Linked DNA regions of Arabidopsis thaliana. The protein of the gene in region 3 interacts with the protein of the main gene of each other region in a pairwise test. Each region holds a gene or a part of one and is shown on either strand. Other genes may lie near its edges. The genes, in order: AT5G11090, RUXF and ATB BETA.

Region 1 (5,924 bases), on a different chromosome or scaffold from region 3:
ATATACAAACAGATGTCGAAATGAAGAAGAAAAAATGGCAAATCAGCATAATATCATAATTATTGAAATCTGTACATTATAATATTGGATGCTAGTACAACATCATTGCTACAACCACTTTAATAAAATGAAAATATCAGAGAGAGAAATAAAGCATCATATCCTTTGTAATATGATTCTCAAACTCGAGTCAAATTAAATATTCCTTACAATTTACTATTTACCAATTACTATACTCCATAGGCATCGAGCCCTCTCTATTCAGTTTTACATTCTCGAAGCACCTTTTTATATCGTGCATGAGATATCGGACATATAATGAAGAAGATTGTAACACGCTTTATACTCGCCAAAAAAGATATCAACTTAACAAATGCTGATAAAAATAGATACAGAAGATTACTCTTGATCTATTTTTTTGTGTGAAATTACTCTTATGATCTTATCGCCACTAGAGTAAAAGAGTTTCCTTGTAAAAAAAGATTTGGAACAAATATTTGTTTTCACCGAATAATTTTTTTATCGGATGTCCCCGAAGGGACTTTCACCAAATAAAGGTGAGTCCAGATGATTACTAGTGGACTTTTGGATTGTAATAAGAACGAATAATCACATGACCACGACCAGGCCATGACCATGACCATGTTAAATAAATCCAACTTCCACTCTAAATCCAGTGTCAGACATTGGATCACCAGTTAAACACTTTTGGCTCTTGGATTGTTATGATGCTAGTAGAAGCCTGGACACGTGTGACATAAATCTATACGTGTCGTAGTAATGTGGACGTGGTGGTGTGAGTGTTGTAGCCTATTGCTTTATCACATTGTGTGTCCCGACCATACAAAAATAACTGTTTTGTCCCTAACTTACCCAACACGACCTCCATGTGCCCCGCATCATTGTGATCTACTACTATTTTCAATTATATTTATTGCCTAGATTCGTCTAAATCAACTGTTTACAATCGTCGTACCCACCTAATCATATACTAATGTCTAATATTAGTTTTACTTTCTTTTAGTTTTTATCAGGTATAATACTATTTTAGTGGTATTAACGTTTGATAGGTGCTACTAAGAATTAATTACACACAAAATATGGATTCTGTCAAGACCAATTTAGACAAAATGTGAAACGAGTAGATCAGACCTTATTAATAATCTCAATCATAATTCTCTCTTAAATATTTAATCAAATTAGACAAAATATAGGTCGTTTCTGACCGTCAAACGTTTAATATCTGTAGAAACCGTGTTTAAAGGTTTAGTTGGTAAGAACTCTCTGAAATGTATCCATCAAATTCTTAAAATTGATATTCTGCACCAAAACTATTACTGGCAATAATCTGTCTAAGCATATTTTGTATTTTGCGGTTAAGGACGCATTGGAATAAGACATATATTATTACTATGGTTGAGTTCATCACCAAATTCCTTCTGCAGAGAAGCTGTTATACCTTTAAGATAGCATATAAATGTTCTAATACATCAGAATAGTGTTCGAGTCAGTAGTTCCATCAATTTGTAGGGACTCTTTAGGTCTAATATGAAACACAGTTGCATGGATCTCCTCCACCGTAACAACTTTATACCAAATGCTAGATTCGTTGTTGTTGTTACATTGCTTTTAAGCCCATTCAAGAGTTTGGCTAACTCACCAGTAGGTTTAAGGTGAAAAGTTGTTGAAATATGTTAAGTGTTACGTGTTGAGTAACTCTTGACTAATTATGATCATAATACGAAATTCTTAAAGTGTTACGAATTAACGATTGGCATTGCCTTCCAAAAAACTAGCTATATCAAGTCCTCTCTCTTTGGCCCTTTTTTATTTGGTAGTGAGCTGTTATTTCTTCTTCTAGCATTAAACCATCTTGAAAGGAAACAAACCAGCAAACGTAGGTACTTTTAATGATGGTGTCAGTTAGATCATAGATGTAACTTTATATGTTACCTTCATGTTATAAGATTTCTATATTGATGTTGTTGGGTATTAGCAACTAGTATTGATGAACCCAAAAAAAAAAAAAACTAATTTTGATATTTATTATAAAAAAATAATAATTAGTAATTAATATTTGATGTTAAGAGACTATATACGTAGACCAAAGGCATGTTTCAGACAAAAAAAAAACAAGAACAATAGAGTGCTAAATTTGATCAATGTAAGCTTTTAATATCTACTACAAAATCTAAAATTACTAAAAGTCATAAATCTTCAAATTGCTATTAAATTTATTTTATAAACCAAATTTAATTATTTAAAATATGTTTATAAAACTATTCAAAGTCTACCAAATAAATATGACACAAATCTTCAAATTGCTATTAAAATTATTTTATAAACCCAATATAAAGTCATATTTATTTGGTAGACTTTTGAATGGTTTGACATATGTGATTTTAGCTCACTAATTTATTAGTATTGAACTCTCTTACATTTATTAAAACTATTTTATGTTGGCAAAAATGTTTTACTCTAGAATACACTATACATAAGACTGATTTATTCGAAGCCTTCTTTAGATAGCCTAAATTTACACAAATGTTGTTAGATGCTAAACTTTTGTATAATCTTATTAATCTGAATCAATACCGTTACAGAACCATTGGGTTGTGACGATAAAACAAACAAAATAAAACCATTGGAAATGTAAATCCGGCTCTTGGCAAAACAACGGGCAATGGCAATTTACGTAATTATCTAAACTTTCTCTGGGTACTCTCCTACTTAAGAGCTGACATCTTTCTTAGTCATGACACGTGGCAGCTTTTTTAACTGCCCCCAAAAGCATTCCCTCTGATTTGTCATCTCAGCCGTTGGATCCGAACCCGATTCTTTTCGAAACGGCAAAACCGCCTCAAATTGAAAAACAAATTAGTAATTTATTTTGCTAACCATAGTTAAGTTTCATTAACCATGGTTAAATTTGACTAACCCGACATAGAAATACCTAAATTTCGAAAATGGTCAAAGTCTTTGAACGTATTTACATTTATTGCCATTGAACAAGCTTTTGCTATAAATTCGGTTCCTGAGACTCGCTAGGTTTGCCGAACCAACCTCCCTTAGGCACTTTCTACAGAGCAGCTAATCAAAAAAAAAAAAAAAAAACCTTGTTCTTCTCTTCTTCTTCCTCTCTCACAAATTTGACTTTCATAGAAGAAAAAAATGGTGACTACATCGTCACGAACCAAGTCAAACGGACCGGTGCTTCGTTCACAATCACCGTCAGGTCGATTTTGCGGTGGTTACTCAAGAGCCGTTCCGTCATCTTCTTCATCAGCTTTCGCTTCATCAACGAGTTCTAGCTTTTCATCTCCGTCGTCAGCTTTTTTCAGCAATCACCGTCATCACGAGAGCAATCACAGTCACCACCGATCTGCGTCACCGACTCGTGTGAATCTCTACACAGCGCAACCGATGTCTCAGTCGTTTCGTTACTCTCTCGATAGCAGATCTATATCTCCGACTAACAAATCGATCTCCGTTTCGAAGAATCAGCCACCGAGCCATAATCACAAGATCTCAAGGAGATGTATGTGTTCTCCGACGACGCATCCAGGATCTTTCAGATGCAGTCTACATAAGAACGTAGCGAATCCACATGGTCAAGGTACAGCTTCGTATACAACGAATGGATTGAATATGCGTCGATCTGCGATGACTAATTCGCTGGTGAGAATTGGTGGTGTTGAAGGAGAGTGGGTGAGAAGAGCTTTGACTACTTTGATTCGACCTTCTTCGCATCATCTGAAAAGACGAGCTGCTTATCAGCCACGTCCTAGTCGACTCTCAATCATGGCGAAAGCTGATGAGAATTGATTTTGATCTGGATTTTGGTTAATTCAGGTTTGTTTTGTTTGTTGTTCTTCTCTCTTTAAACGAAAACCACCACAGGATTTAGTAGATCCGGCGAAGAAGTCTTGTTATGAAGCTGAGGTCTGCGAAGAAGAATCATCCTCGAGAAATCGAGATTTTGTAAAAGGAAGAAACACACACCTATCATAATTTTTTTGTTGTTGGGTGAAAGAAGATGCTAGAATGCATTGTACATACGTTCTCTTTTTTACTGTTTTTGTTGCTCTCTCTTGCGTCTTTGTCGAACCCCAAAAAAAAAAAAATGTTCGGAGTCTCACCAAAAATTAGAGACCTAAAATCGAAAATCAAAGAACTGAATCTAATTTCTGTATTGAACAAAGTGAGATTTCTCATTCCTCACAATCAATTGTGTATGTGTTTGTCAGATTAGCGTTTTTTTTTTCGTGTCCCGTCAAGTCAACGTTCGTGTACTCCGTTGACCGGCGTTGTTTGCCATTATCCGTCGTCGTTTCTACCGTGAAGCGTTGCGTTAGTTTTCCAGGTATGCGTTATTCGTCGTGTCAGGTATGTTCCATTCGTTTTTTTTTTTTTTCCGTTTTATGTTACTTACATTTTTTTGTAGTTATATTTTCGTGGACATTTTGAATTTTGTTTTTGTTTTGCAGGTTGCGTTTGGTGATGGAGTTTGAACTACTTGACTAACAGGGACATGAAAATTCAGATGGAATTGAGAGAAAAACAAAATAAATTAGTAGAAAAATACATTAAAAACAAAAACAAAAGAGGTGGAAAAGGTCTTCACTTTCTGGACATATATAAAAAAACAACGAAAAATCTATGGAGGGAAAAACATGACTGAAGACAAAATTTACATAGGAGGGAAATGGAAAAAAAGTGTTTTGGTAAAAGAGATAGCTGACTGACCCAATTAGAAAAATGACTGAACATATGGAATATATTAGGGAGCAGATGGAAAAGAATACATATGAATATATTATTAATGGAATTGGGAATCTTTTGGATTCATGAAGGAGTAAAACTTGGAATGTTTGAAAGAAGAAAAGAGGAAGGCTATGAATGTGGAAAGACACGTCTTACTGATCTGGAAGATTTTGTTATATTCGATCATATTCCTCTGCGTCCATGATATACTTTTTAAAAATAATTTATAATTAATTCAAGAAATCTTCTTTGAATTTATTAAACAAAGTTTGATGTTTTAAGTTTAAAAAAATGAAACTCATCGAAAAGCTAAAACTGCGTAAACTTGACGATGAATGATGATGCCCCACATTGTAATATGTTGTACGTGGATTAGTTTAGGTTTATTTGTAGAATTTAAAAGGGTTTTCTATTGTCAGAACTTAGAAGAAGTCGGCTAGTGATGAATAGAATGTGTTGGCGACCACAAAGGTTGGACCGGACTTGTGATCTTTTCTGATTGACGTATCCCCTCGGGTTTGATCGGTTTAACTTCATTCCGCTTTGGTATGTTCCTACAACCAACTGATACTAACCGAGTGAAACACTATTGACTATAGTTTTGCAAACTGTTGTTTCTTCTTCTGTTTAGCGGCTCTCGAAAAGGGAAGAAGTGGAAAATGGCTCTTGTGACCAATAGTTTCCAATGTCATACTCATACAGTCATACATGTTTCGTTATGAGTCGTCTCCACCTCAAGTACTTGAAATTATTGTAAATTTAAGAATGGTAGTTGAAAAACTTAATGATTTTCCACCTATTCAATATCAGCATGACATCATTGGTCGACTAATATTTTTGTAAAAATTCTAGCAATAAATTGTACCTAAAGAATAAGAGGAATAAATGGTGAAATAGAGGGATCGTCCAATTTATAAAGAGGAAAAAGTGGAATGAAAGATGGGATACACGTCTTCCTTACCTGGAAGAGTATATGCCACCATCATATTGTTACATTATTGTTTTATTATATCACTTAGATATTTCTTTTATACCTTTTCATAGTTATGGTTCAATTCATAGTGATATCATATGAGGTCGGCGACTACTTGCCTAAAAGGAAAAATATTAAGAAGAGATATACATGGAATATTATATTCGCAATTATTATCACTATTTTT
Region 2 (5,910 bases), on a different chromosome or scaffold from region 3:
GTTGGATGCAAGAGTCAAATGATTAATAATGGTAGAGAGAAATAAAAAGCCATATTCGCAACCTTCTAGCTCATTCGGAAGTGTTTTTTGGTGGTTGAGAATATTATTCTAAGAAAATTGAAAATGAGGAATGGACCGATGGGTTTGGTGGGTAGGCGAGAGAGCATATAGTTTAGATTTAACTTAGCACACGTGACTTACATTGAAGCGTGCCAAAATAAGTAGGTGGACAGAAAACTTTCCAACAACAACAACAACAACATGTTTCTTTCCTCTTTCAACTACTTTTGTGTTGTGTGTTTCTTCTCTCGACCTCATAAATTTGTATTCGTTAACTAGAAGTGAATACGATTGCATAAACGACAATATACCCCGTCTAGTTTAATAGGAACCGATCGTCGACTTTAAATTGACATGGTACTGCATGTTTTATCATTATTTTGTTGATTTTATTCATCAAATCTAGTGATGGTTTAATCTGGTATATTTTGTATTACTTGTTCCATCTTCCAGGGACAAACTTAGTAATTTTCTTTTAAAATTGATTCTTCAGTACCTTTAAATTGTAAAGCTACATAGTATGTTGTACTTTTTATTTGTCAACATGGAAAATAACTAAAGATGATCGGTGTCAAATGTAAATAAAAATCAAGTTGACATGGTAGTGTAAATGATGTCACATGATTGAATAATTGATTTCTCAGTATTTCACATGTTTTGTCAACGTCATAGCAGAACAAAATAAATAAGGAATATTGACTTAAGGTCACTATATTAACTTTTAACCGTATTTTTTTTATCAACAAACCGTAAGTCTACTGATTTTTTTTATTAAGGTTTGAACTCAAACTATTTTTCTTATCTTGGCCTTTTCAAATAACTAGACTCGAATTTTACCGTAGAACTATTTTTGTTAGTTTTTCAATTGATGAGTTAAGACTAAGAAGAAGTATATTCAAATTGTCATCTCCATTACCGCAAAGGTTGTCCCAATATTGCTACCACTTCATGGGCTGGATGTAAATTTAGTAGCGCTGATTGTAGTTTGCGGACTCATTAGTAAGATTTCTGAGAAGGGCCAATATAGGACTATTACAGCCCATTAGTAGTCCAACTTCTTAATCATAGACCCAATGCATAAAGCCCGATTAAGTACATGGTTAACTTATTCCCGATTAAGTACATGGTTGTCTTTATATCCTATTTTAAAACAATTTCAGCAAAAAACTTATTTTTCTGGAATACGCTAATCATTAATCAATATAGCATACATACTAATAAGTTAGACTAAATAATATTATTTATCATTTAAGCTAGGACGCATGATTGATCCGATTAATCTGAAAACTGATTGCTTGGAACGATATATTATGTTTGGTAATTGCTTGGTACATTATATTATGTTTGAAAATTATTTTTAAAAAGAGTGAAATCTCTCGAATTCTTTTATTTTGCGGGTACATACTTATGGCTTAAATTTGGTAAACAAAAGAATCTCAATGTTGCTACTTGCTACCACTTGATGGGCTATAAATTTAGGCCCAATAAAAATGGTTAAAAAAAGAATTGACTAAGAACCGGCAAGAAGAATGGTTTCTCATAAGAAAAAGGGCTTGTTAGTTTTTTAAGGTATGAATATGATCAACAAACTCTTAAGATTCAACAACATCACACTAAGATTAAAGTGCTCACAGAATACAAAAATTAAAACACACAGACTTGCAATTTCTAAGTACTCAATACAGGTTAGTCTTGATCAGCGTCTTCAAGCTCTTCATCTTCTGGCACACCACGGACATACAAAACATTGTTGCACCTATGTACACAAAAGTCAGCAAATTAATTCAATGGATCCGAAAATTTCGAAGCAATTACAAACCTGATAGTTAGTCAATGAATCCACTACTATCAGAGAGAAAATGATAAATGTGTGCTAATAATGGCCGCCAAGTCTAATTCTTAAGTTTTATCAAGTAATGACACTTCACTGTGAATCATATAGTTGGAAACATAAACTGAATCACAAGGAGAAAATAAGTAGAGACAATGAAGTAATATTATTACCTGATCAAGATCTCTCCAAGGTTCCCTGTCAATTGTCCATCAATATATTCTTCGGTGTTTCCCAGCTGACAAAAACAATATGGAAAATGTCAATGCATAACAATCTATGTATCTGTACAGATTATCAGCATTGCCTCTAAACTTGTATGCACAAGGAACATTTAGCAGGTGGTTTTGGACAAAATAACATCAATCTCTCTGTTTAATCAAAAAGCTATCTTATCTAACTTTGTAATTCAGGAAATAACGCACCTGCAAGTTCATGTAGGAGTCAACAGAGGCGAGAAAACCTGTGAAGTAGAAGGAAGACTGTTAGCTATATAAGCTCTGGATACTTATCATCAAAAGCATTTTGAAGAAAAATATACCTTTGTATTCCATTCCCCATTTAAGCTTGACGATAACAGTCTTGCCGGTCAAGTTGTTCAAGAATGGTTTCGGGTTAACCGGAATAGTCTGCAAAACACACATACATACAAACTTGGTTCATCAAATACTAATGGAATGAACTCAAAAGCATCACATTTGAAGATAAACACATTGTGCATTTTCCAACGAATTCTCGAATGCAATTTTTATGTAGTGGACTATTATACTCGTTAACGACATATATATAACAATTTCGAATCAGATTCAGATTCGCAGATACTCCAATCTTTTACTTGTAATCAGATAAATCGACGAGATTGGAGCTGAAAGAAGAGCTCAGGCCATCGAATTTCGCAATCCCTAAAACTACTTAACAGATAAAATTCTAATTTTGAGCTCAATAAAGAAAGGAATTAACTAATCTAAGCTCGAACTTAGAATCAGAAGACGAAAAAATCGAAACTTACCGCCATGAGTTTGAGAACGAAGAGACGAAACGAAGATCTGGGAGAACAAATATCGATACGCTTGTGGTTTCTCTCGATTTAGGGTTTTTGGCTGGGTTTATTCGTTGCTGTACAGAAGATAATGGGCCTGCGAAAATATCTCATAAGGCCCATTATTGGTTCAACTGGCTTGCTTTGTGAAATCTCCATAAAAGTGAAAACAAATAATACATGACAAAAACGACATGCATTCCAACCTAATGACATAAAACCGGCAAGAAGAATGGTTTCTCGAGAACAAAAGTCCATTATATTGCATTCATCTTTACACAATGATCAAATTTTGTCAGCTTGCCTTTAAAACAATTAGCCGGCTTTCTACTCTTTGACCATCCAATTATTAGTTTAGATTATATATAATTCCATTAGAATTCTATAATTATTACATCAAAACTAAAACGATTGGCATCACATATATGACCAAAGAATTAGGTGAACGTGAACCACTCATCTGTTGAGGTCATCCATCATCTAGTGCAAAGTATTTTTCATTTTTGAGGTCTTTTCATTTTTATTTTTTTTACAAGTCATTATATGTTTACTTTTTTTTTCACGTCATTATATGTTTACTATGATAAAGAAAACGCTTATAAAATCAGCATGCTAATAGAAAAGGTTATCTACATCATGATTTTTATTTTTTGAACAAAAAAACATTTGAAGTGAACTGCTATAGATGTGAATCATCTTACTTTTTTGCGTTTAAAGGCAAAATAGTAACATCGCACCATATGAAATTGTTATAAAAAGGGAAAACAAATCAAACTTTGTAGTCAAGCAATGTATATGAATAACCTACTTATGACTTGTGCCTTGCAGCGTAAGTTGATGTACGTTGAAAACGAAAAAACAAAGTGGATAGTTTGTAATTGTGGCTCTAATTCCTTTAGTTTTTTTTTCTCTAACAATTGAGTTTCTTTAATCACTACACTTCCACTTCCTCGATTTAATATACCTAAACTATAATTGGATAGTTGAAAATATCAAAAACTATAGTCTAGAATATAATTATAATCATCGTTTTAATGTTTGTAATAACCGAAAGGTCCGAAACGAAATGTTAGCAGCCAGGCGAAAGTCATTTTCTCAGCTGACCTCAGTTACGCGCAACAATTCATACCTCAGCACTTATTTTTTATACTTTTGTCACAATGTCTTAGTCTTCTTCTGAATTAGTCTCGACTATCTTTTTTCACAATCAATATGCTTCATACAGTTTGTTTGTGTGTAAACTTGCTCCTTCGAAAATATACCTAAAGAAAATTGTCTAAACATTTTTAGATTGTGTTTCGCTAATTCTTATATATATTTATATAGAAGTGGTGACATGTCGAATCTATATTTTATACAATACCATCAGTTAGCTTTTTGCACAGTCTTTTTATTTTACCGGTTGGGTGTACAAATCTATGCAAATTTGTGTGATCGTGGTACATTTATGTACATATGTATAAACATATAGTCTTTGACAAAGAATTTAAAAAATATAGGCATTTCAATCAAAGTTTTACATCATGAAGAAATGTAAATCTCAAATTTTCAAACATTATTAATTTGTGTTTGAATAATTCTATCTCTATCATTCTTGACCATGCTTTTGAATAACTAAATTTTCTAAGCTGAAAAATCGGAAAGATTCATGAATAAATGATCAATGCTATATATGAAGACTAGAGTTACTTGTCTTATCTTTCTTGTCGTTAAAACTATATATGAAAACTAGAGTTAGTTAATATTAATAGACACTTTGTGTGGTTAAATAATAAATAATAAGTAAGATTTGCTATCTTTCTTGTCATTAAAATTGTATTATTGTTATTACCAACATAATATGTCATATATCGACCTGAAATAATTAAATCATGAGAAATTTGGCAAACGGAAACTTCGGATGGTCAACAATCTACAAATATATGCATGTATATAAATACACCTAAAGAATTCTAACCCGTAAAACAAAATAGTTTCCACTTTAAGTTCTGTAAAAGTATTTGACCCCTCTAGAGACCATGTATATATATGGTGACAAAAATTAATACTTTCAATATCTTCATTGTCTTCTCTCTCTCTCTCCCTAAAAAACATGGAAACTACAAAAAACACTAATCTCCAAAACCCTACTAAACTCCCAAAACCATTTCAACATCACCTAGAAGAAGAAAAAGAAGACGCACTATCTCTCCGAGATCTTCCCCTCAAAGCCAAGAATCCTAATCCCACCACCACCGAAGACCACAAAGAACCGTCAACGGAACTTTTTGAGTTTCTAACCTCATCCTCCTACGACGTAGCTCCGGCAGAAAATATAATCTTTGGCGGGAAACTCATCCCTTTAAACTACCAAAATGCTTTCTTTTCACCTCCTGAGCACATTAGCCGTCGAATCCGTTCACGGTCTGAGTCCTTATCCGCGATACAAGGCCATAAGCTTAACCGTCCCGGTAGTTGTACCGTGGCACGTCGTGACAATGCGGGACCTATGAGGGCAAGCCGCTCTTTAGATTATCGTAAGCTTTCACGTGGTCTAACCACCGTACATTCTCCACCGGAAAATAGTTCATCGACTAAAAACACGGGGAAGCCTGAAACAACGTCTTCGGGAAGTGTAAAAAGTGTAAGGCCAAGATGGTATGTGATCATGTTTGGAATGGTTAAGTTTCCGCCGGAGATCGAACTCAAGGATATAAAGAGCCGTCAGATTCGCCGGAATATTCCACCGGTTATGTTTCCATCTCCTGCTAACAGGAGAGCTCGTGGATCTCGGTCGCCATCACCGTCACCTTCTTGGAGGTTTCTCAACGCTTTAAGTTGCAAGAAGCCCACAAGCGTGGCTGCTACGGCGCCGTTTTGGGTTCCTCATCCATAAATTACTATATTATTCCTACGAACATTGTGCGCGGTTACTTGCTCTGCCGTTGATTAAGAAGGATAGGATCGTCATTTAGTATAAGAAATATCGATATTGTTAATT
Region 3 (9,601 bases):
CAAACAGGTTAATCCAATGCGGAATGGGTTTACATGCTTAACTTATACCATCCTTTACATTCTCTTTATAATTGGATGGATCACTAGAGTAATATTATGCTATTATTCATTATCGAAGAACAAGAGACTTAATTAAAGAAGTGATACGAAAAATGAGCCCATTAAGCTTCCGTGGTAGCTAGACGCTCCTCCGAAGGAGATCCCTTAATTACGTATACAAAAAAAAGAAATCACTTAACGTGCATGAACCATTCATCTTTAGACATCTTACATAATTGCATGAAGAATATCTCGAATACAAAACAAAAATCTTCAATTTCTTGTTTTCATCAATCACTTGACCAAATTTAAAGGAACTTGAATAGGTTCATGAACAATCCCAACAGATATCTTGCAGTTTTCAGAGCTCAACATCTTGTCATTCTCCTCTCCTTCCTCTGATGACATAATTTCGTTGATTATTTCCATTAGTATCCTCTCCATATCTTCTCCATCGGTCCAATCTCTAACGGTAGCCTTAACCAACATGGGATTTTGACTAATCAAATCCCAAACCGGGAAATTCTTCCTTGGCATCATGTAATCTTCAGCTTTGAGTCCAAGACTGGGACAGTAATCACCAGCACCATCTCCAAGATAGATCATCTTGCTCGTCTTCCCTTCTTTCGTTAGAGAAGCTTGAATCCTATCGATTATTAAACCCTGTATAAACAAAATTTAGTATTAATTTAGCACACAGATAGGTCCATATTGACTCATAACAGAATCAAAGATAATATATTTTACACCAAAAAGTTTCCCAAAATCCCTGAAAATAGTAATGACAAATCTTATCTTTTGAACTAATCAATCAATATGAGATTAGTGTAACTGCAGTACCTTGCACATGTTAGGAGGGCAACGAGAGCAACCATGAGAAGATTTGGTGAAGTCATGGTAAGGAGAGACTATTAATCTTCCTTGTTCATCTACAAGTCCTGGATTTGTGTTAATCTCGGAGAAAAACTCACCAATCCCGAGATGTTCAATGATTGTTTCGATGAACAACGTGTTTGCGTCGCTCACTATTCTCAGCTCGCACCTAAATATTATGTCGTATGATTCAGTACCGTGTTATCAAACGAAGAATGAGGAATTTAACATGGATTTTTACCCTAAAGCATGAGCAGATTTGATGGCTGGGATGACACGTGGATGAATTGGGATTCTCCTAAGGACTTGTTTGATTTCTTCAATGGTTTTACCATGATCATGAAGCTCCTTCATCATCCGATTCTGTTTTGAAATAAAACCAAATAAGGATTTAGTGTTATGACTGATGAACATATATAGACCAACGTAACAAAGCCCTAGAGAAACCGAAACAGAGAAGAGTTAGAGATGGATGAACAAAACAAACCATGAGAGAGTTCCAAGGCATTGTTGGGAGAAGCTGGTTGAACAAATCAGTGAAACCAAGTTCATCCACGACCCAATTATCGCTGTCTACATCGATGATTGTCTTGTCAAAATCGAAGACGATCACGATGTTGTTATTCTTAGCCATTCTATCAGATACAATGTTTTATAGGTACTGTTTTATCGATTTCTGTATGATTATGGAATTTGGAGAAGAAGAATGTGATATATATACGAGTGAGAGAAGGTGAAAAGGCTAGAGACGAATAGGGATCTTTCGAGGAAGATGCCATTGGAATATTACTTACCGTCAAACGCAAGGTAAGATAGATAATTAAGAATCCTAATCTGATATGATTCGTATCTTTTGAACCGTTAGATCTGATGACGTTTATGTGTCAAACATTGACTAGGTATACTGATCCAACGGTGTTGATGACTCTTTGGTTTATTTTGTGGGTATTATTTAGTTTGGCTTGTTAAAAGTTTTATTTAGTGGGATTTAGGCAGTTGAGATTTGAGAAGACACCGGAATGGAATAAGATAAAAAAAAAGAATATTCCACCTATTTATGCGTTTTCGTCATTATTTTCATTTTTATTAAAGGAAAATAAAATCCGTTACCCAAAAAGGTTTATTTTTCTTTTAATACGCAACCCAAAAAAAGTAAAAAATGCAAAATGAATATATTGGTGTTTATCGTATGAATAAGTTTTGATTTATCATGGGATGAAAAATAAATAAATGTGCATGGGATAGTTGCTTTATGTCACACATTTGATCGATAAAGTTAATTGTAAAAACCACAACATTCATACTCGATTGGATTTAAACTTAAAAACATGAAATTTATCGAAATATATGGGAATTGCATCAGAAGGCACTAGGAAGGAATAAGGTTGCAACTTGGAAGGAATATTGAGTGACAAATCACAATTGTAAGCAGAAAGAATATTCTAGGGGTTAAGGATCACATCATCTTTTCATTTGGTAGCCACATCTTTCAATATTCATCTGTATTTGATTTCTTCAATAACAATTAAAAGTATTCTAACCAAACAAGTCTTAGCATGACAACAAAACAAATGTGTGTGTGTGTGTGTAATCCTCTATCTATAAAATAATATACTTCTATCAGACATTATCAGAAGAGACGCATCAAAACAAGCTTCTTTTATTTCTCTTCCTCGTGTCTTTAGATTGTGATATAGAACAAGGAACATAATATTTTATATCTAGTTGTAAATCTTGTGGCACCACGAAAAAACTACATTTCACTGCATCCACTACCTCAATTGGCAAACATTTCATTTTTCTTAGCAGAAATCAAATTAAGTTACGTAATATTAATGTTGCCCTCGACACTCTTCTTGAGGTAAGGATACATATATTCAATTCATCGCATCCTTTAAAGTATTACAATCAGTAGTCAAAGATAATTTTATTTGCTTACAATAGAATCTACGAGGAATGGAGGAGAAAGCTACTTTTTATTGTGGGTAAAAGTAAAAAACACAAAAGAGGTGTCTGAAAATACAATTGAAAAATAGACAAATAGCAAAAAAACAGAATGGATGTGGTGTTCAAGAAGAAGAAGAAGATATGACAAAAGAATCAATAAACAAATTTTGAAGCACATCCCTCCCAATCGTCTCATACTAAAAAATCCCACACACCATAATTTGTTTCTTAATTGAAAAAAAAAAGGTAATAGAATCGATACTAAAAAAATAAAATAAAATTTATCCTTAGTGCAGCAACCCAAAAAAAAGACAACCTAAGTAGGAGGGGTGGTTCGGATATTTAAGACATTACCCTTCTTCAGGTAAACAAAAGGCCTCTTCTTGTTTTCTTTCCCAACCCAACACTTTTTACCTTACTAACTCCTGAAAGATTACTGTTGCTGCTTCTTCCGTTGACTCGTCGCGGTGACTGGTCAGGCTTTGGTCTTGGTCACAGCATTACTCTGTTACTACTACACCTTTTCTGGTTACATCATGACTTTGGTTGTTAAAAGAAAGAGAGAAAGAGAGTGAGAGAGAGACCCGGGAAAAGAAGAAAGGGAAAGTTAAATTGGAGCAAGCTGATTCCATGTTTATGTCTTCTCTCTCTCTTCCCAACTCATGCATAGTACATGTACAAGCTGTTTGCTGCTGCACAAGCAATTGAGTTCTCTGTTGGGTGCCAAGCCATATGCAGCAACTTTGTTGTGAAATCGTAGGCGTTCCCATTTGCCTCTGTTCCGGGACTCTCTGATCCTGCGTCCAAAACAAAAGTTTTTTACTCCAGAAGAGAGTAGTAAAAGCTTGAATAAGTTTTACAGGTACTATGACCACTAACCTCGTCTAACCACGCGTGTCATACTGCCTATAGATCTGGATGGTCTTGCAGGTGTCTGGATTTGCCTCCTAATATATACCATTGATGCGAAAGTTTTGCAACAATTGATCAATACAAACTTCAATGACTTAATAAGGTTAACTATCAATGTTCTCTGTTTTCTGATTTACCTCATCGGGTTTTTGCTAGCTTCCAAAGTCGCAGCTTCAGTACTTCCTTGAGACGCTCCAAATACGCGGAATAGATTGCTGGTTCACCGGAGATTAAGTATAATAAATTGGTCATTAGTTTATTCCTTATACAAGACAGAAAAGTACAGCAATGACCAGAAGACAAGCAAGTCAACCTGTAAGAACCTGTTGCTACCCTCAATCCATCGCCACTCAGACAACACTCAAATTTATCAAAGATGGAGTCATTTTCATATAGATCGCATAGCTGCAACCGGGTAAAACATAACGTGGTTAGCTTTCAACACAGAATCAACAAATAAAAGATGCCACAGAAAGAAGCTCTCACCCTGGGTCTCAGATGTTCATGAACCTGGTAAGATGCGACCGGACCAGAATCCATGTTTATGTCCCACAGCTGAAACGTCAAAAAGGGTAAAAGATATCAGAAAGAACTAAAGAATAGACCTCTATTGGCCCACAATCAGAAAAATATACACAAAGGGAACCGAATGATTTCCAACCTTGAGCGTCATGTAATCGCGACTAAGTATGTATCTCCCATCCTTTGAGAATTTAATATCTGAAATTGAGGCAATTATCTCTGTGAAAAATGATCTTGAACCAGGTGCTTCCGGTTCTTCAAATCTGTGATATGAAGCAACAATGGTCAGTGGTCAGAAACTTTAGCCTATTAATCTTCATTTCCAAGTCATTTCTGACAAGAAAAGAGAAAAATTGGAAATGAACCCACGTATTCATATCCCCTTCTTAAGTATATATTGAAACATGCAACTACCATTTCCGATAAAGGATGATGAGAACAGAACTTACAATTTCGTATGAGAATCACACAGAGCTGATTGACGCATATCAATCAAACGAATGGAGCCTTTTGAACTACTATATGCGAGCATATTACAATGGATAGGATGAAACTCAGCTGATGTAATAACCTCTGCACAGACCATGTAGCATTTAGAAGCATGCTCGACAAGCAGTAAACGTGAAAAAAATAGATAATAAAAGTAAGGAGGTTGTTGACATATGAATCAATGGTAAGACCATACAAAGTAACATCTAACAAAATAGGAGAAGTAGCATACCAGTTAAGTCCTCCATGTTTGTGGGCTTAACATCAACAATATTGAAACTCTGGTTGCTAATTTCCAAATTCCAGAGATTTACTCGCAGATCATCAGCCGAAATAAAGGTTTCTCCGTCACTGTAACAATTAAGGGAACGATTCATTACCACAAGGAACAAAACAATGCAATACAAGTTGTGAAATTTAGGATCAACAAGATTTTCGACAAAGAGAATAATAGCACGACCAGACATGGAAAGACATGCAAAATAAAATTCTAAGGATTTTTTAGATATTAGCATTGTTTCCTGAGATGGAAAAATTAAGGAGAAAGACAGCAAAAACGTGTTAAAGAGATATCAAGAGTAAAACATATAACCTGAGGGAAAACTTAGGAAAACGATTACCTGCTATTGGAGATTGAATTAATATGGTAATCATGAGCATGGGCATACACTCTTCGGCATCTAGCCACAAGGTTAGTCTCCTGGCTGGTAACCTATATATGCAGAAACACCCATAAGTTCAAGTAGAACACAAATTGACTAGTGCATTAGACTAATTTGGTACTGAGCTTTAGTTACGACAAAAGGAAACAAGGCCAATAGTAAATTCCCTACATTTCATAACTCAAGTAGCTGGATCATCAACATGAAGAAAATATCCACAACTTCCAGTAAAAAACAGGCTTAATATCTATACGCATTTACTTTTCAGAATCCTGAAATTAAAACTCACTTCATTTGACACCCAAACAAAAAGTAAAAAAAAGTTGCGTCGAGTACAACTACCACAGGCAAACGCAGAGATGGAATGCCTCCTGGCGGGAAAGAAAAGTCCTTGCTCAGGTAGTCATGCCCTTTATCAGCAGGTAATCCATTAGTAACTAATTGAGGAGGGATATTTGAACTTTCTGACGGATCAATATTCATTTCACTAATTTTCTTGATCTTCTTCTCTTGTACCTGTTTGATTCCAAATAAGAGGAGGAGTCAAATTATAAGAGTAAAGAAACAAACTATTTCTCTTATTTTGAATTGAGTCTTGGAAGCAAAAGAAACCAGTTTCTAGACAGTTTTCACACGTGACACCTAATATTTCTACACTATAAAGCATATGAAACAAGATTATGGAACCGAGTTACACAGAAAGGAATTGCTATAAGTGGCCTATATTTTGCAGACATGTGATATAAAAATCCATCCAGATGTCACACCTTCCAATATTTGATGGTTTTATCGTTTGTAGAAAGCAGAAACAATGCACCATTAGCTGGCTGACACCATCTGATTTTGTTGATTTTCTCCTCTATCTCCAAACTCTTGAGATAGTCAAACTGAAACAGATTGAAAAGCAAGCTTATTGAGTAGCTCAAGGAACACAATTACTCGTAAGTGAAATCTGGTGATAAGTTTTAATGTACCTCTGGTTCATGACTCTGAAATTCTGTTTTATATCGAAACTCAGGATGCCTAACTGGGTAATCCGTCTGCTCAAGATCCTTCCTGGACCCTCCATGCTGAAAGTAACATTTTGCAAGAGTGCGTTACAGCACATAACATTTTTTCGAAACAAATCTTGCAGAAGAAAAAGGAACTCACATCTTTAGTATCTGTCCTTTCAAAAAGAACTACTCGGCCCCCACGGTCACCAGTTGCGAGATGGTCTCCACTTTTATCAAATTCGATGGCTGAAATGATGTCAACTGCGGAAGAAATGTGTGCAAACAGAATCATTACATCAGAAGTCACCACTAAATTGTAGGAGCTAAACACATAATAACCTTGAGGTGCAGCTAGTATATTATTCTCCATAACATAGAGTATGTAAACCGGTAAAGAAGATTACATCCAATAACATGAGAGCAGATTAAATTTATCTAATACGGAAAGTGCCTCTGAAGGCAACCTAGTTACATCAATACTCCGGGAAGTCTTATCAGCCAGAAGAGAGCAGCTATAGACCAACTCAATATTACAAATTCAATTCATGAACCCAAAATGCATGACCAATGATAACCCTTCACACTTGTCCCTCGACAACCCAATCCCTCATCGCTTCATATGCCTTTCTTGCTGTTAAACAGAGTCGAGACACCATTGTACCAGTGGAAAAAAGTATACATGGCTTATGGCATTGAACAGACAAAACCTTGAAGCTAGATTACCCTCTTAATCTCAACTTAAAACTATCATCAGCGTATCAAATGATTCAAATTTACAGCAGTACAGCTGAAACTTGTACAAAAATGAGAGTTACAACCTCGCAACAATCAGCTAAATAGAGATGCTCTAATATCACATAATACACAACAATCCAAACTTGTCATAGAACTTAGAAACTCTACTAACAGTGCAATAAAAGCCACAGAGATTCATCAATGACCCACTAAGTAGTAGAGGAATAACTCACTAATCAGATCCAAACAACAAATCAAACCCTTAGTCCTCAAATACACTCCGGATCTAAAAGAAAAAAGAAGAGCTAAACTCCGAATATATCTCACAATTTATAACACACGTAGGCAATAATTACCTTCCTGAACTTCTTCTCCGGCGGTTCGCTCACCGAAGACCTGAGAGAATCTCCACTCTAAAGACGGAGGAGGACCACTAGTAGCGGCATCGTCACCACCGTTCATTTTTTTTTTTTGGCTTTTGGGTTAGATAATCCAACAAAAATTAGAAATCCGAGCTTGAGATCTGAGCTTCCAAATCTTTTAATCACCGAATCGAATCGAAGATCGCGTCATCACCATAACCAAATCCTTTGATTCACATTCCATTCCATAGTTTTATTCATGGATTTTTTCGCGATTGAAGCAACTTGATCGATGATTAATATTTCGTCCCTCTCTCTCTCTCTCTCTCTCTCTCTCTCTCTGTAGAAAATGGAATTTTTGATATATCTCTCTGTAGAAAATGGAGGAACGAGAGAAGAAAAACGCCTTGGCCTTTTTCTCTCTCTAAAAGGACAAAAGTGGAATTATAACTTTTTTCTTTTTTTTTTCCTTCGAGACCAAAACGAAGGAACAAATCCGTATAAGTTAATATGTCTAATACTATAATGTTTTTGTCCTGATTCCAAAGTATCCTTAGCGTTACAGTCGGTGACATTATTTATTTGACCACTACATATCGGTGGACAGTGACATATGTTTTCGCCTATCATTGGTCAGTTGTGGAGGTGCTGCGCTTTCCACTGTTGTGTTGTGTGATGGGGGAAAATGTATAATTATCATTAGTAAGTACTAAATAATTATTTTTGCCAAATTATCCTAAATAGAATTCCATTGCACATTTGTTTTTTCTAATCTGATATTATCATATCTTACTTGAGAAAAATTACAAGTTTCTTTCAGGGGTCAAAATTAACTCATGAGAATACCCAAGCGGTAGAAAAAAAGAAAAACGATTGAAACCAGTACAAATCAAATGAATTTAAAAAGTATTACTATAGTTTATACCAAATGTATTTGGATGGTGAATAATCAAAACTGAAACGAATAAGTCAAAGGAGTGTTTTTTTTTTATAACTACTAACCACTCAGACTCAGTGACGGATTAAAAGATTAAAACTTAAACCGGATATAACCGAATAATAGAACCAGTCAGTGCAATTCGATTTAGGACATAATGTTAGGAAGCCTCCTCGTTTAAAAGTTAAAACCTCTCTTTCTGCGGAAGAAACACGCTTGAGATATCTTTCCCCAAATTCGAAAGAACCCTAATTTTTTCCGATTCCGATTGATCAAACAAGCGAATCCCGATTAACTGATCGAGGAGATGGGTAATACAGATAAGCTGATGAACCAGATCTTTGAATTGAAATTTACGTCAAAGTCTCTGCAGAGGCAAGCTAGGAAGTGCGAAAAAGAGGAGAGATCGGAGAAGCTCAAGGTAAAGAAAGCCATTGAGAAAGGTAACATGGATGGTGCTCGGATCTATGCCGAGAACGCCATTCGCAAACGCAGCGAGCAGATGAACTACCTTCGTCTCTCTTCTCGATTGGACGCTGTTGTTGCTCGACTCGATACCCAGGCTAAGATGGCTACCATCACCAAATCGATGACCAACATTGTCAAATCCCTCGAATCGTCTCTTACCACTGGTATTTCACATTCTCACTTTTCAGCAATCTAATCAATTTGGTTTTGTTGGTGCTCATAGCATTATAGTATAGATTGAAAAATTCTGCTCCTTGTTGTTGTTTTTGCTGATTGAAGGATATGGAATCATGCATTAGGGTTTGGTTTGATGAAATATTAGAATAGCTCTCTCTCACCGTCATGGATGTTCTGTGATCTGTGATGAATTTTTGTTGCATTTCTCTCCTTTTGGTAAGTGTAGTATAGAGGGAGAAGAAGATAGGGCTTATAATACTCTTATACGTTGTGCTGTAGCAACTCGTGTTATCATTTTCTGGTTTGTTCTTTGCAACAGGCAACTTACAGAAGATGTCTGAGACGATGGATTCGTTTGAGAAACAGTTTGTGAACATGGAAGTCCAAGCTGAGTTCATGGATAATGCAATGGCTGGCTCTACTTCATTGTCGACTCCAGAAGGAGAAGTCAACAGCTTGATGCAGCAAGTAGCAGATGATTAC

The links.
Region 1: the proteins of ATB BETA (region 3) and AT5G11090 interact in a two-hybrid assay, tested with the Arabidopsis thaliana proteins (one large-scale study listed by BioGRID).
Region 2: the proteins of ATB BETA (region 3) and RUXF interact in a two-hybrid assay, tested with the Arabidopsis thaliana proteins (one large-scale study listed by BioGRID).

The regions. Positions count from the first base shown.
Region 1 is NC_003076.8:3,521,625-3,527,548, forward strand, and holds AT5G11090 (serine-rich protein-like protein), read left to right. Parts: upstream 1-3,052; 5' UTR 3,053-3,171; coding exon 3,172-3,825; 3' UTR 3,826-4,222; downstream 4,223-5,924.
Region 2 is NC_003075.7:14,801,354-14,807,263, forward strand, and holds RUXF (small nuclear ribonucleoprotein F), read right to left. Parts: upstream 3,006-5,910; 5' UTR 2,907-3,005; coding exon 2,901-2,906; intron 2,545-2,900; coding exon 2,433-2,544; intron 2,355-2,432; coding exon 2,317-2,354; intron 2,130-2,316; coding exon 2,065-2,129; intron 1,817-2,064; coding exon 1,747-1,816; 3' UTR 1,607-1,746; downstream 1-1,606. Other genes in the region: AT4G30230 (uncharacterized protein), read left to right, coding at 5,023-5,805. UniProt on the Arabidopsis thaliana protein: Probable common Sm protein, is found in U1 and U2 snRNPs and may be part of the spliceosome.
Region 3 is NC_003070.9:6,090,430-6,100,030, forward strand, and holds ATB BETA (Protein phosphatase 2A, regulatory subunit PR55), read right to left. Parts: upstream 8,011-9,601; 5' UTR 7,637-8,010; coding exon 7,531-7,636; intron 6,701-7,530; coding exon 6,597-6,700; intron 6,515-6,596; coding exon 6,419-6,514; intron 6,332-6,418; coding exon 6,212-6,331; intron 5,961-6,211; coding exon 5,784-5,960; intron 5,495-5,783; coding exon 5,403-5,494; intron 5,134-5,402; coding exon 5,015-5,133; intron 4,867-5,014; coding exon 4,743-4,866; intron 4,557-4,742; coding exon 4,433-4,556; intron 4,327-4,432; coding exon 4,258-4,326; intron 4,177-4,257; coding exon 4,085-4,176; intron 3,987-4,084; coding exon 3,909-3,986; intron 3,807-3,908; coding exon 3,739-3,806; intron 3,657-3,738; coding exon 3,520-3,656; 3' UTR 2,779-3,519; downstream 1-2,778. Other genes in the region: PEPC1 (Pyridoxal phosphate phosphatase-related protein), read right to left, coding at 334-702, 880-1,081, 1,154-1,275, 1,400-1,546; VPS46.1 (vacuolar protein sorting 46.1), read left to right, coding at 8,781-9,105, 9,438-9,601. UniProt on the Arabidopsis thaliana protein: The B regulatory subunit may modulate substrate selectivity and catalytic activity, and may also direct the localization of the catalytic enzyme to a particular subcellular compartment.